Linked DNA regions of Mus musculus. The protein of the gene in region 1 interacts with the protein of each later gene in a pairwise test. Links are inferred from orthologs where the notes say so. Each region holds a gene or a part of one and is shown in the gene's direction. Other genes may lie near its edges. The genes, in order: Tollip and Odam.

What was found.
Region 2: the proteins of Tollip (region 1) and Odam interact in a two-hybrid assay, tested with the Homo sapiens proteins (2 studies listed by BioGRID and IntAct). The two-hybrid records come from large-scale screens. The link is inferred for Mus musculus from reciprocal best matches to the Homo sapiens genes TOLLIP and ODAM.

What each region holds. Positions count from the first base shown.
Region 1 is NC_000073.6:141,890,007-141,897,705, reverse strand, and holds part of Tollip (toll-interacting protein), read left to right. Parts: intron 1-4,816; coding exon 4,817-4,966; intron 4,967-5,539; coding exon 5,540-5,722; intron 5,723-6,851; coding exon 6,852-7,004; intron 7,005-7,699. UniProt on the Homo sapiens protein: Component of the signaling pathway of IL-1 and Toll-like receptors. Inhibits cell activation by microbial products. Recruits IRAK1 to the IL-1 receptor complex. Inhibits IRAK1 phosphorylation and kinase activity.
Region 2 is NC_000071.6:87,881,499-87,889,869, forward strand, and holds the start of Odam (odontogenic ameloblast-associated protein precursor), read left to right. Parts: upstream 1-3,511; 5' UTR 3,512-3,548; intron 3,549-4,198; 5' UTR 4,199-4,213; coding exon 4,214-4,264; intron 4,265-4,355; coding exon 4,356-4,397; intron 4,398-5,057; coding exon 5,058-5,105; intron 5,106-5,821; coding exon 5,822-6,052; coding exon of another isoform or gene 6,053-6,091; intron 6,092-6,441; coding exon 6,442-6,486; intron 6,487-7,867; coding exon 7,868-7,969; intron 7,970-8,371. UniProt on the Homo sapiens protein: Tooth-associated epithelia protein that probably plays a role in odontogenesis, the complex process that results in the initiation and generation of the tooth. May be incorporated in the enamel matrix at the end of mineralization process.

The sequences.
Region 1 (7,699 bases):
ACTAGTAAGATGCTAGGTCCTTATGAATTGTTTTTCATTTTTCAGAAAACATATTTCTGTGATCGAATCCTTTTCTGATACTATTTTGCTTTGACACCAGAGAGGCAGAAGAGCTGGGTTCAGGTGGTTGTGAAGTTGCCAGGTACCTATGAAGGCCAATAGGACTGGCTGCAGTGACTGTGGGGAGAGAGCAGCAGCTAGTTTTGTGCATAGGAATCCCTGTGATCACTGGCTCTGGAAGGCATCAGGCAGTAGATCCACCTCTGCCCAGCTGCCAGATACTCTAAACTATGAACTGCTGCTGCTTTAGGATTCTTCCTTGCTCCCGTTAGCCTTGCAGTGCCAGAGCCTCACACACATGGATGCATGCATGCAACTCACATACTTGTATGCACACTCACCTGTAGAAGTAACTGTGTCGCTGCCTATCTTTTTTGCTGAACTCTAGACTAGCACCTTCTTGAGTTCCTACAGTGTCCCAGACATGCTAGCAGATAGGTTCTCTGTGCTGGGCAGGCCAGATGCCTTTGGACAACCCCTAGGAGAGACATCTAGCTTCTCTGTAGATAGGGAAGTCCCATGGGCTGTGCTGCAGATTCTAAATTCATTAGATTCATTATGTGTGCCCTCATTTACTAGATTTGTCCGCCTGTTCCTAGTTTGAGTTGCCCTCAAATGCTACACAGAGCCAAGGCTGAAGCCTACTGTGCCCTGCCTACTTGTCCCCCTTTTTTTGGTCAGGGTCCTAGGGATTCCTTTCATTCTTTTAGGGACACAGAAATATCTCATTCTTTTTGCCAGTTGTGAGTCTGGGCCACAGAGATGCTTTGCTTGGTGGCTCTTCCTTTGTCCTGGGCCTGAAGGAACCAGCATACTTATGCTATGTTCTTGCAGCTTTGCCATGGGACCCGTGCCTGGAATTGAATTTGTTGGCTCTTAACCAACATGTTTGAAGTCATTTGTTAGTATTCATCTTATACTCTTAGATAAACTGCAAAAAAGATCTACTGTGAGTCTGTTAACAGAATCATCATTTAATTTTTCTGAGTCTTTAAGCCATGATAAAAATTTATTTCATGTGGCCAATATATGGCAAAAATTTCATCCACCAGTATATGGCAAAAATACATCTTAGGATTAGCCCTGTATTTTAAAACTTTACTAAAAATAGCTGTTTATTGATGGTATTTTCTAGTGCTGTCAGTGACTTTATAGAATTTGCACCAATGCCTGAATTCATCTCTTGTTTTGAAGTATTCCTCACTATGCTAACAGTGGTGACTCCTTTAGGTATAGCAAGAGGTGTCCTCATTTAGACAACTCATCAGGGACCTGCAGCAACAGGCAGGCTTGTCTTTCCCTCCCAGGACAGAGAGTATTGGTTGTATAACCACCTTGTTTATCTGGCTCAGGCTTACGTCTTTCCTACTCTCCCTGCTCCCTCTTTAGGTTAAGGTGAAACTTTTTCTAGTAAAATTGTGACTTGAGAAAAGCTATAGAAAAAAGTTCTCATCTCATTTTCCTTGATGTCATATTCACGGACCAATGTCACTGCCACGAAACTGGCTTCAGTCCATGTTCTACATTCAGCTTGTTCAGCTTGTTCCCTTCACTGCTATGGGCTCCTCCCAGTACCTTGCCTTGCCTTTGACCACATCTCAGGCTTCCTTGTTTTTTTGTTTTTGTTTTGTTTTTTGAGAAAGAACATTGTTGAGGGTGTTGTAGAACATCCTTGGCTTAGATGAAGTCTCACCTAGCTAAGTCAGAATGGGTTAGCTTTCTCTACCACAATGTTGCTTTTCTACTCTTCATTAACACTGTTAAATTCACAATGTTAAAACTTTCCTTTCCTATTTATAATTTTATGGTTAGATCTTTATTGAAAAATAGCACATTTGAATTAGAGCATTGTGCATGCTGGGCAAATGTTCTACTGCAGAGCTCTACTTCAATCCTATCCACATTTTATCTTAATCTCACCCCACCCCAGCAGTCTCTATCTCTTTAATGAAAGCCTGGAAGAGTATAATAGGAAATCTCAATGTCTGAAGTTTCTAGTCCCAAGAAGAGAATGATAAGATACAAAGTAAAAAACAGCCCTGACTTGTCCCACATAGTCTTTCCTGACCTCCATGCCTGAAGATCCCCCATGACTGCCTATATCCTGACTTATCACTGTGATATCCACTGGTCTGCTTACCCTCCTATGTGTATCCTTCAAAGGCACAGTGTGTCCTGCTGCAGTCCTAAAACTGTACTATATGGCATACAATTGATAGTTGTTCCTATGACAAGTGAGAACTTGGCCTATATAGATTAACCCCAAGAACCTGACTGAAGAAAATCTGTTTTTGCCTAATAACCTATTTATGATGTATAGATAAAACTGGGTATACATCGTGGAGGTGCACCCTCGAAATTCACTGTAGACTAACACAGGTATGGGACAGAAATTCCTCTGGGAGGGACTCAGGGTTTCCTCTATACCGTAGATACTGGCTCCTGTCTTCTCGAGCCACAGCCCTTCCTCATCTCTTCTGGACTCCCCGGAAGCATTTGTGGTGTGCCGTGGGGAAGGCTGTTTATCCAAGGGAGGCTTCAGGTATTGGAAACTGCCTTTCTTGGTAACCATGAGTCTCACTGGCCACAGCTACTTTGTGGAAAGCTTCTGCCTATGAGGGCTGAGCTCCCTCCTTGTTCTGGACTCTGAGTGACCCCAGAGGTGCAGAGGGGTATGCTGCTAAGTAGTCACCACTCACAGATAAGTGTGACATGCTTTTTTCAAGTTAGAGGATCGTAGTGGGAACATCATCAGGGTGGCCCACAGAGAACTCTGGGCTGTATCCTTGGTTGGTTCTGAACATCTGACTAGTCTGTATGTTTTGGAAACACAGAAATGGGGAGAGAGTAAGGGGCTAGACTTGAGGATCCAGTGACTTTTGCTTGCTTCTTTCCTTTATTAATTTATTTGATCTATTTTTTGGGATAGGGTCTTGCTATATAACTCAAGCTGGCCTGGAACTCACTATGTAGCTCAGATTGGCTTTGAACTCTCTGCCTCAGTCTCCCAAGTGCTGGGAATGTGAAAGTGAGCCACCATGCCTACCTTTTTCAAGGACCTTTGAAAAGAAGACCCAAACCCCTTGGAGTTTCCCAGGTGCTGGGAGCTGAAAACCCTGCAGAAAGTGGAAGTGTACATAGTGCATATCAGTGGGAACCCACGGCTGGGTGGACAGGTGGGAGTGTGTGCAGTGGAGGTAGGCAGGGTGTCATAGAACCTGGATACCAAGTGTTCCCAGCAGGTCTCAGTAAATTGACTCTGTCACAGCTCACATTTGACATTGGTGCTTCTGGGCAAGCATGCATGGTAGGACTGCTTTAGGCACCTGATTGCTGCTCAGGTCCTTCTTCAGTGGGCTTTCAGTCTTCAGAACTTCCTCAGCTGTCCCTTAATTGTGAGTATTTTCTCTATGTAACTTAGACTGGTACCCACTGGGCAAGGAGCAGTCCTGGCTTCTGTTGTGTTATCCTGGGTGAAGCTGTGGATGCTTGCTCCCAAGGCTGTCCTCACTGGTCCTAAGTAGCTAACATCTCAGCTGCTACAAAAGGGTCCTTAGCCCTCCCTTCTTGGGCCCCAGGTAGGTATACCATTTCCAATTGGTGTTTTCTTCCCAGGAAGCCCTGGTTCATCATGTATTCGTTGGTCTTCCTCTGCAGTAGGGGTCCTGTGGTTAAACTCCAAAATGAATCTTAGCCAGGGCCACCATTAGGAGTCTTGGTTAACCTTTCCCCTTTCCTTTGCTCTCCTCTTTTTCTTGAAAAACTCTACTTTCTTAGAGCACTTCAGGTCTCCCTCGAGCTAGCCTTTTTACTGACTGAGATATATTCTTTTTTTATTTATTTTTTATTGGATATCTTTATTTACATTGCAAATGTTTTCCCCTTTCCGGGTCTCCCCTTCAGAAATCCCCTATCCCATCGCCCCTCCCTCTGCCTATATGAGGGTGCTTACCCACCCACCTACCCACTTCTGTCTTCCTGCCCTGGCATTCCCCTACACTGGGGTATCGAACACCCCTTGGGCCCAAGGGCTGCTCCTTCCACTGATATCCAACAAGACGATCCTCTGCCACATATGCGACTGGAGCCATAGGTCCCTCCATGTGTAGTCTTTGGTTGGTGGTCTAGTCCCTGGGAGCTCCAGGGGGTCTGGCCAGTTGACACTGTTGCTCCCCTCATGGGGCTGCAAACCCTCTCAGCTCCTTCAGTCCCTTCTCCAACTCCATCAAGGACCCCCAAGCTCAGCCCAGTGGTTGGCTGCAAGCATCCACCTCTGTATTTGTCAGGCTCTGGTAGAGCCTCTCAGGGGACAGCCATATTAGGCACCTGTCAGCAAGCACTTTCAGGCATCTACAATAGGGTCTGGGTTTGGTGACTGTATATGGGATGGATCCCCAGGTGGGGCAGTTTCTGGATGGCATTTCCTTCAGTCTCTGTTCCACACTTTGTTTCCATATTTCTTCCTGTGAGTATTTTGCTCCCCTGAAATATATTCTTAACCTTCCAAGGGTCTGGTTTGCCTTGAGTACCTCCTGAATAAGGTGTGTGTCTTCAGGGAAAGGGAGCTCAGATGAGGGGAGGCTGGATCTCTTGTTTAAAAAAATAAAAAAAAAGCAAAACACTCTCTAAACTTTGGTAAGGTGAGCAGAGCTGGACTGTGCCTGAGTGACACACCTCTCTAAGGTAAGCCAGATAGTACTTTGAGATTGCTTGGCATTCTGCTTTGACTCTACTCTTTTTCTCTCCTCACTGGAAGGTGTACATTGGTGAACTCCCCCAGGACTTCCTCCGTATAACACCCACACAACAGCAGCAGCAGATCCAGCTGGATGCCCAGGCAGCCCAGCAGCTGCAGTATGGAGGAACAGTTGGTACCGTGGGTCGCCTCAGCATCACTGTGGTACAGGTGGGTCTTAGTTTCCTGTTGAAGACTGGTGGGATTGAGCAGAAGGGGAGGCACTGGGCATGGGGCTTTGCATCTCATTTCCCATGTGCACAGTAGAATTTTTTTGATTCTAGTTATTCTTGAAAATATCTGGTAATACCTGTTGATTCCTCAGGGATCTGCCTAAGATACTGTTGGTCCATGTCAGGCATTGTACTCCGTGAGGACGCTTTCCCTGATGGCCCCTTTGTAGCAGTGAGCTGCTCATTCCTGCACAACAGCTCTGCCGACCGCACTTCCCATTCAACCTCAGCTCCGTGCTGAGGCCTAGGATGCGCACACTCAGTGCAGTGTCAGAGGAGAGGTCTTGTCTTACTGCTCACAGGTGTTGCCAGGTATGGCTAGGTTCCAGGGGCATGAGTCCAGGAGTGACTGGCAGCATGTTCAAGAGCAGGTTACTGACACGATTAGGTGAACTTGAAGGCTGTTTTTTCACACACTGGGAAATATCTGTAAGAAAAGCAGTTTACAGATGCACTGGCCTTTGTCTCTGCTGGTGAATGCCACATTTTTCTAAATTTGGTGTTGTTTCAGGCAAAATTGGCAAAGAATTATGGCATGACTCGTATGGACCCTTACTGCCGTCTGCGTCTGGGCTATGCTGTTTATGAAACTCCCACAGCACACAATGGGGCCAAGAACCCTCGCTGGAACAAAGTCATTCAGTGCACAGTGCCCCCAGGTGTGGACTCGTTCTACCTTGAGATCTTCGATGAGGTGAGAGATGCCCCAGTGTTACAGACCTGTCTAGTTTGGGATCTGACAGACATGGGTGTGCTGTAGTGTGCCTTGTGGGTTTAGTCATGAAGCTGTTCTCCTGGTGCTCAGGCCCTGTATACATACCTAGCATTTAGTGACTGGTGACAGGGTGTGACCTGCCTGGACACCTGGCATTTAGTGGCTAAATGACAAGCTACAGATTTTTTCTCTCAGTTCCTTTGACAGTGTCCATTGGGAGCCATCACCAGCAGTAGAAGCATGAGTAGAGTGTGAAAATAGATGTTCACGGGCACGTCAGATTTCAAGCAAGTCAGGCTCCACTCGTGATGGGAGCACTGTTCTTGTAGGCATGAGTTCCAGGCTCTGCCAGTAATGTCCCATGGCTGTTCCAGCAGTTAGGCATGCAGCTTTTTGAGGGCAATCAGGAAACTCAGGTGGAAGATGTCTCCTTGTAGCTTAGCTGTGGAGGTCATATGCTTGTTTCCTTGAAACAGCAAAGGGCAGTGGGAAAAAAATGGAGGCATGAGAGCCAAAGAGGACATTGGCATGGGAGGCCCAGTGAGGGGACACAGTTTCTCCTTTGTCTTGACCCTCTGCCTCTTGCTCTACTTTCTTCTTGTTTGTTTGTTTAGTTGGTTGGTTTTGTCCCTTTCTCCTCCTTCTGTGTCTGAGAATAGTAAGGATATGAGAAGGAGGTTTGGGGCTGTGGGTGGTGGCTTGGAGCTCTTGTCCTCATCTGTACCTACTGGGCTTGATACTTGCTTCTTATATCTAGTGGATTAGGAGTAAGGGCCCAAGGACTGGGGAAGATAGTGTCCATCCCTGAACAAGGATGACAGCCCAGAGATTCTTTATTGTCCTTTGGCCTGGCCTCATGGTTGTTACTCAGAAGATGCAGAAATGGTGGTGGCCAGGTCTAGGTGATCTATGGAGGTCTGGCGTTATGGTTTAATGGGAAGCTCCTTGACGGAAGATGGAGCAGTGAGGAGGAACCTCTCCTGCCAAGAAGATAGAAGGTAGATGCAGGCACCAGTCCAGGTGGAGTCACAGCCATAGGAAAAGCTCGTCTCTATAACATGGGTTGTTGTGGGCCATGATGAGGTCATTTTACTCTTGTCTTCCTCAGCGCGCCTTCTCCATGGATGACCGCATAGCTTGGACCCACATCACCATCCCCGAGTCCCTGAAGCAGGGCCAAGTGGAGGACGAGTGGTATAGCCTGAGTGGGAGGCAGGGCGATGACAAGGAGGGCATGATTAACCTGGTCATGTCCTACACGGTGAGTTCACTGTCCGGAGAGGCCATCCTCAAAGAGGTTATGGCACCTCCTTGAGGCAGCTATGGCTCCCAGAATCCCAGAACCTTGGGAAGTCATGGGAGGCAGGGCTGGGCATCTGAGCTCCCAGTGTCTCCTTTGTATTATCTAGGCCTTTCATTTTAGTTGTTGCAGAGTCTTTGAGAACAGGGGAGTATAAAGCACTCTGATGCAGGCCTCCTCAGCTTGACCATCCTACATGCCTCTCCTGGTGTTGAGTGTTACCTGTCTTTAACAGGTGCTTTATGTAGCATAGGTCCATTTTACACTATCGCATCTACAGTTCAAGATTATTAGAGCTGGTCCAGGAGAGGTGGCTTAACAGGTAAGAGCACTGCTGCTCTTGTGGAAATTTCCAGGTTTGATTCCCAGCCTCTACATGGTGGCTCACAACCAACTGTAACTCCAGTTCCAGGGGATTCAGTACCTTCACTGGCATCAGGCACACACATAATGCACATATATACATGCACACAGAACACTAAGACATATTAAACAAACAAACAAACCAATTCAGTATTTCTGAGAGAAGCTTCTGATACTTATGCAGTCTCCAGAACAAACCGTGAAGGGGGCTGTGTGAGAAGCGGTGGTGGTTGCAGCTCATGTGAGGCCAGTAGTTGATATCATTTGTTTTCTTTAATCTTCACCCTGACTTT
Region 2 (8,371 bases), on another chromosome or scaffold:
TTCTACATAAATGATGTAATTATAGGAAGGGCACATGTACAACAGTCTTGAATATGACAAATAGGCACACTCAACATGCACACTGCAGTATAGAAACAAGGTCTTCCTCTCCCCTCAGGTATATCTTTGCTTACAATGATATAGGGACTTGGAAGTTATCATATATTAAGGCATGGGCTGTTGTTTTCTAGGTGTGTCAACTGTTACATATATGGTAAGTTTTAACTACATTTTAAATTGTTTTTAATCTTATATACATTTGTGTGTGCCCACATACATGTATGTGCATGTGGGGATTGTCAATGGAAGCCAGAAAATAGTTTCAAGCCTTCGGGAACCATAGCTACATGTAGTTTTGAGCCATATAATGTTGGCACTGAGACCCAAACCCAGGTCTTCTACAAGAGCAGCAAGAATTTTGTTTTGTTTTGTTTTGGTTTGGTTTGTTTTGTTTTGGTTTTGTTTTGTTTTGTGGGAGCTTGGGGGAGGTTGTTCTTGTTGTTGTTGTTTTGGTTTGTTTCTGTTTTTTTCATTTTTAGTGTTTTGTTTGTTTGTTTGGAGAGGAAAGAGTTTATTTCATTTTATATCTTACAGTACATTATCAATGGTAGTCAGGACAGAAAATCAAACATGAACTTGGAGGAGGCTGGCACTGAAGAAGAGGTTGTGAAGAAATATGATTATTATCTTGTGCAGATTGATTTCTTATTCCAGCTGTTCAGGGATGGCACTTGCAAGAGTAAATCATCAGCCAAGAAAATACTCAATAATCTTTTGCCTACTAGACAATCTGATGGAGATATTTTCTCAAGTTTCCTTTTTCAGTTTTAGTCCTGTTAGACTGTATTTGATATATAAAACAAAAAACAAAAATCAAAAACAAAAAAAAAAAACAAAAAAAGAACAATAAAAGAACAAAAGAACAAAAGAAAAAGAGGAAAGAGAGAGAGAAAGAAAGATAAAGAGAGAAAGAAAGATAGAGAGGAAGGAAGGAAGGAAGGAAAGAAGGAAGGAAAAAGAAAGAAAGAAAGAAAGAAAGAAAGAAAGAAAGAAAGAAAGAAAGAAAGAAAGAAAGAAAGAAAGAAAGAAAAATCTTTCTCAAACAACCAGCTCCTGGTTTTGTTAATTCTTTGTATAGTTCTTTTTGTTTACACTTGGTTGATTTCAGCCCTGAGTTTGATTATTTCCTTCCATCTACTCCTCTTGGGTGTATTTGCTTCTTTTTGTTCTAGAGCATTTAGGTGTGCTGTCAAGCTGCTAGTGTATGCTCTCTCCAGTTTCTTTTTGAAGGCACTTAGAGCTATGAGTTTTCCTCTTAATACTGATTTCATTGTGTCCCATAAATTTGGATATGCTGTGCCTTCATTTTCATTAAATTCTAAAAGGTCTTTAATTTCTTTCTTTATTTCTTCCTTGTCCGAGTTATCATTGAGTAGGGCATTGTTCAGCTTCCATGGGTTTGTGGGCTTTCTGTTGTTTTTATTGCTCTTGAAGACCAACCTTAGTCTGTGGTGATCTGACAGGATGCATGGGATATTTCAATTTTCTTGTATCTGTTGAGGCCTGTTTTGTGACCGTTTATATGGTCAATTTTGGAGAAGGTACCGTGAGGTGCTGAGAAGAAGGTAAGTGCTTTTAACCATAAAGCCTTCTGTCCAGCCACTCAACTACTTTTCTTTAAGATAGTCAGCTAATGGAAAATTCAAATAAAGCCTCTTAATTATCTTCAGACTTGAAGAGTAAAGCAAAATGAAGCTATTCACATCAGGATATTGCCATCTCAGTTTAGTTCAAATCCTTGGCAAATTTCTGACTCAGTAGTGGGGTTAGCTGCCTGGGTCATGTGGGATGTAACAGAAATTCTCAAGTGACTGTTAACTTACAGTATATTTAGTTTAATTTGGAAATATTCAAAAGTAAGCCAAAGTCTGTCTATATACACATATCATGTGTGTGTGTGTGTGTGTGTGTGTGTGTGTGTGTGTGTGTGTAAATATGAAAAAAAACCCTTCTATCTAGTTTAACCACTTAATTAATTGTCTACATTTTTAAGCCTGGAATGGTTATTATATTAAGTAGAGAGTTTCAGTAAATTAGCTATCACATTTTAACATAGCCTAAATATCTAGTCTTGAGATTTTTTTTTTTTTACCGAGTTTCAGTATATTAGCTATCACATTCTAGCAGAGTCTAAATATCTAATGTTGAGATTTTTTTGATACATATAAAACCTAGCGGTAACTTCTCTTCTTTCATATGATAAAAGGTCATGTTATTTTAATAAATGATTTAGACTTTTAGGGATTCCATTTGCTGCACAGATATCCAATGCTCAAACTCTAAGTTCCATTTTGTTAGGAAAGTTTTTATTAAACTTTGTTTTAGAAAGCCATTAGCTTTTGTTTTCATTACATGATAAGAACAAATTAACCAAGTAATTCCCACATAATGGAAATTAATTGATAATTTTTCATCAGAATACTTGTGATCCTAGAACATTAGAATATAAAATATTGACACTCAGAATAAACACTCAATTCTTTGAAATAAATGAATTCAAATAATGTTTAGTTAATCATACTGTTATACTTTCAATATCGGAAACCGTAAGAAACTGTGATTCATGTTGATTAACTTAAGGTCATTCATTTCGTAGACATATAGAAATTCAGATTTTTAAAATTTTATTTTAGAAAAAGAAGGATATTCACCATTGTTGTTAAAAGGTTTAAGTGATGACCTCTAAAAATGATCCTTAGAGTGGGAATAGCGTGTCTCTGACTCTTGCCTGCTCTTGGGGCTCTTTACCTCCTATTGGGTTGCCTGGCCCAGCTTTGACAAGAGGACTTTTGCCTTGTCTTAATGTATCTCATTTTGCCATGTTTGGTTGATGTCACTTAGAAGACAACTCTCTTCTGAAGAACAGCAGAGAGGATGTGAATCTTGGGAAGAGGAGAAGCTGAAAACAGTGGAGGATGGGGAAGCTGTGGCCAGGATATAGTGTATGAGATTAATTAAAACTTAATTTAAAAAAACTTAAGACAATCCACCTCATCTTACCTCAACCTAGTATCAGAACACTGGATAATATTTGTCAGCAACCATGCTTTGAATATGTACTAATATCTGTGTTCTGTCTTCAGTCTGAATTTTTTTCTCAAAGTTAAAAAGATCAATAATTTGGTCTTGAATTTAGTAAAGGATTTTTGGGTTACTTATTTAAGTTATCCATTTTTAAAATGATAAAAAGGAGTGGAACAAAATTAGCCTAGGGGAGTTAGTCATGACCAAGAAAAAGCCAGGAGCGAGCACAGAAAAATGTCTTTGGGGTAATTGAAAGGCATTACTTAGGGTGTGGGAATCCATACACCACAAAGATGATTAGGAAAGGGGTTATTAGCTAAGCCATTGTCTAAAACCCACTGAATCACTGGTCCCTTTCAATCATGATTGGTCCCTTTTTTTTTCTAAAGATGGGTTTTAAATTTTAAGAGGATCTGAACAGCAGACTGAGAAAGAAAGGGGCACAGATCTTGCAAAGAAGTAAGGTAAGATATCAAATCTTTGCTTTGGTAGTTTAAGAGCCCAGCTCTGATGCACTACCATGGGCACTCTATTGTTTGTCTATGTCTGGGATATGAAATATGGTGGGAACTCTTCAAGTAGAGGCAGGAGACAAGAAGTGTCCACTAGTTATGCTATGATATGCATCACTACTGCCATTTCCCTTTCCTGTCCCTTGTAGTGCTATGACCACTACAGTTAATAATCAGCAGTATTAGACTTCTAGTGGAAATTTTTCTCTTTTGCTTAGGATTCTTAGATTTTTGTTATGATGCCTTTTCACTAAGAACATTAAGATCATCCTAATAATAAGAATCCAGTCAGTTAAACTCCAGGTAGGGGGCTCCACAGGGCATTCACTTCTGTCAGAGCCTAACAATCACCTGCCACTAAATGAACTTTATGGTCAAGCAAACAGCTCTTCCCCATAAATAGCTACACTGAGAGAAAATGAGACAATGGTTATTATAAGAACATTTTATTTTGAGCCGTAAAACATTAGACTTGAAGAACTGAATCAACTGTTTACTTGGATTTGATAGGTGGTCTGATGAATTTGCCAGTCTTTATTTTGGTCATTAAACTTTAAGCAAAAAGTCTCTTTTAAAGCCATGTGTCACAACTTGCTCTATAGGTATACCATCTGAAAATGAAAATTATAATTCTTCTTGGACTCATAGGAGCCTCATCATCAGCCCCGGTAAGTGTTTCATTGTGCTTCAGATTACATATAAACCCATGCATTTACCCCGCTTCACAGCTTTTCTTTGTTTCTTTTTTTCTTTTTTTAGCTTATCTCGCAGCGTCTATTGTCTGCTAGCAACAGTCATGAGGTTAGTTTAAGTTATTAAAACATTCTCCTGCATTCTGTATGTGAAGACACACTGGGAAGAGATAAAATTCTGCATCCAGCCCTGTAGGTCTTTTTTTTTTTTCCATTTTTTATTAGGTATTTAGCTCATTTACATTTCCAATGCTATACCAAAAGTCCCCCATACCCACCCACCCCCACTCCCCTACCCGCCCACTCCCCCTTTTTGGCCCTGGCGTTCCCCTGTTCTGGGGCATATAAAGTTTGTGTGTCCAATGGGCCTTAAATTAAACATTTCTAAACATATTCCCGAGTTGCATGGCTGTTTTCCTGTGTACCTTGTTAAAGAGTGTTTTTCCTCCTTCTAATTCCCCAAACACAATTTGTTCCAATAGCTCCCTATGTGGATCTCAAAAATCAATGTATAAACATAGAAAATACCCAAGCCACTGGGATGAGCCGAAACTGTGCACTCTTGTACACAGTAGGAATGGCACTGTTAAACCCAAGCCTTGCTTTCAACTCTAACTTATCTAATCACTGTGATTTAATGCAGTCTTGTTGGGGAAATGTGGCCCTTCAAATTGAGAGTTGATCAACCAGCACTGCCTTGTACTCTATCTACAGAAAGCATTTCAGACTGCATAGTCATCTAGTTTCCATCTTGTCTCTCCTTTTCCAGCTACTCCTGAATCTTAATAATGGTCAACTTTTGCCACTGCAGTTCCAGGTACTGCTATGTAATGGTTTAGTTCAAAGGGAATATATTTCTAATGAGCATTTCTTATGGTATGGGATGAGAACAAAATGCATTTACTTATACTTGTTTTAAAAAATGGTATAACTTGATGAACTAGGGTGGGGAGATATCAAGGAGGCCTCCATCCTTGCAGAAGAGAAGGGGAGGAGAGATGGGGGAGGGAAGGAACTCAATGAGAGGAGACTGGAAGGGGGGCAGCTTTGGAGTTGTAAAAAAAAAATTGTTATGTGCCACATAGTAATTCTGTTGATTTTTGACACACTTAATTTTTTTAAACAAGCCACATATAGCCAACCATGAGGAGTAGGGGGCAGGTCTTTTGATTCCAGTCAAAGATCTGCAGAAACTTGCGCTGTTTTATTAACTTTGTGTTCCATGTTTCTCATCATTTGAAAACTGTGACATTTATTAGTTGTTGAGATGCTGTCTTCTCTTTTTGCCTTTCTTACTGGGGGTTGATTTCAATTTCTTTCTTTCTTTCTTTCTTTCTTTCTTTCTTTCTTTCTTTCTTTCTTTCTTTCTTTCTTTCTTTCTTTCTTTCCTTGTCTTCCTTCCTTCCTTCCTTCCTTCCTTCCTTCCTTTCTTTCTTTCTTTCTTTCTTTCTTTCTTTCTTTCTTTCTTCCTTCCTTTCTCCCTTTCTTTCTCATAAAAGAGTAACCATTGCCTTCTATCTTTGCTTTTCACAGGGTGCCTTCAACTCCTGGATTCCTCCCTTCCCTGGGTTTCTGCAGCAGCAGCAGGCTCAGGTCTCAGGACGCCCACAGTTTACTCTCTCAACACTAGAGAGCTTTGCTGGACTATTCCCAAATCAGATACCTTTATCAAGACAGGTTGGACTTGCCCAAGGAGGCCAGGCTGGCCAGCCAGACCTCTCTCAGCAGCAGACACCACCTCAGACCCAGCAGAGTGCTAGCCCTGTAAGTGAAGCTTCTTCCATCTTGCTGCTGTCAGATAGGGTATGAAGGTTATTGTGAATTAGCTTGAAAATATGACAGGATTTTTATGAAGTTTTCTCCTCTACTATTGCAACCACCCCTGAAAGTATCTCCTTATATAGTCTGATTTTTAACATAAAAATAACATTAAAACCAATTGCCCTAGAATATAGTCAATAACCAGGAACTAAAACACCATGTGGGAGCAGAATTTGTATGAATTATAGCTCATGTAGAAGAGAAACTTTAATGGAGCATTGCTAATGAAATGATTCATGGGAAGCTAGATCTAGGGAAATCAAACCAAGAATTGCAAATAACAAGTCAAGAGTAATTTGCTTATATGACTTTGTGACTATTCTTTTCCTCAGATGTCCTATGTGGTACCTGTCAAAGTACCTCAAGATCAAACACAGGTAAGTGAAGAGAATTCCTTGACAAAGACAGAAAGGCTCATTTCACTCTCCTTTTTACTCCCTTTTGTTCCCTTGGGTTTCCAGTATCAGGGCTGTTAAGGCTGTGTACCACACACCACTGTCTAGAGGCACCATAAGTGGCTTTTGGGCATCTGCTGATGTTGGCCTAACCTGATTTTTTTAAAAACAGGCAGCTGAAATGAGTCTCTAGGACCCTTGAATACCTATGACATAACTATGCTGGAAGTGATGAGTTCAATAAGACCAGTAGCATGTCTTCTCTGTATTTAAGTTCCAGCACTGGGGAAGAGCTAAAAAATAAAAACATGAGTTGACATTTTGCCTTCCCAAATTTTGTTTCATATGATTTTGCATTTGTACCTGGTGTGTAGTTATAAATAGCATATATGATTATAATCATATTTATTATTATAAATAACACTAACACACATTATTGGCCTATTATAAAATTTCCTCTGAAAACTTTCCCAGTCTCTTTTATGCAGTATTTAAAATATAATTCCATATTATAATTAAATGAGTATTTCTCTTCAGGAAGAAAAAAATTAATATTAAACTAATAAATTATGTGACTATAGAAACCCTGTCAATATTAGGATAATCAATTGTATAATAACTCAGATTCAAAGGAACACGGCTATATATAAATTGTGATTCACATGAAGACTGTTGACTTGTTCAAACAAAGTTATTCTGCTTGGATCTTCTATAAGTATAATTATGTAATTAAGTTTCACTCACACTGTCATTACATAATAACACAATTCTAGACATTATCTCACTGTATATCCTTAGGTATGTAGTGAGTCAGATATGTGACAAATACAATTACTTCATTTTAAGGTCCAGGAAACATAGATTTAATGAGATTAAGTATCTTAACCCTATGAACCAAATGCCTGTTAGAAGTCAGTCCTCTACCCCCTTTTCAACCACTAATACAGTGGCTCTCTGCATAGGCTTATGTCAAAAGCTTTGTGGGCTATTTCTAGAATTATAAACTCCTAAGCTCTATGTTAAACCTGAGATATTAAAACTCTACCCAACCAGACAAACATTCTTAGGTCTTTAAAGGCTTAATGGGTGATTTTCACTCTTGGCATGCTTCCTACCTTAGTTTAATCTATTATAGCCAAACGTGTTTGAATATGTATTCTTACAAATGAAGTCCTGTTTCATGTTGGGTTCAAGTTGTTTCACAATTTGAGAAGCACTGTACATCTGCTATGCATAGTACATTTGCTGGGAATGGTAGTTCATACCTGTGTAACCAACTTTACAGTATTAACAATGGTAAAAGAGTGAAGAGCATTGCACATCCTGATCTAATGGGCTCCCTCATGTACTCCCATGTCTACAGATGTTTCAGTACTATCCAGTTTACATGCTTCTGCCCTGGGAGCAGCCTCAGACCGTCACATCCTCACCACAGCACACAGGGCAGCAGCTATTTGAGGAACAGGTACTGTGAGGGTTTGGTTTAGTCTGTGGTTCAATTTCAGAATAAGGTAATTTCCCTGCAGAAAGAATAATTAAGAATATCGAGTGCATGTTCTTGACCACTTGACCTCACAGAATAGGACATAGTAGCTCTCCTCTTAGCACACCTGTATAATAAACCTATAATTATAAGGAGTAAAATCAGCAAATGGTTCTAATGAAATAAGGCTCAAAATTGATTTTTCCCCTCAATTTGATGTTTCTCACATTCAGAATCTAGAAGAATTCATCACTTAAATATAAAGACATATATGTGAATATATTTAAAATATCAAGATATAAAAGATTGCTAAGAAAAATATTTGTGGTCACTAGAACCTAAGACACAATTTGATAACTATATTTCAGTTTTGCAAACATAGCA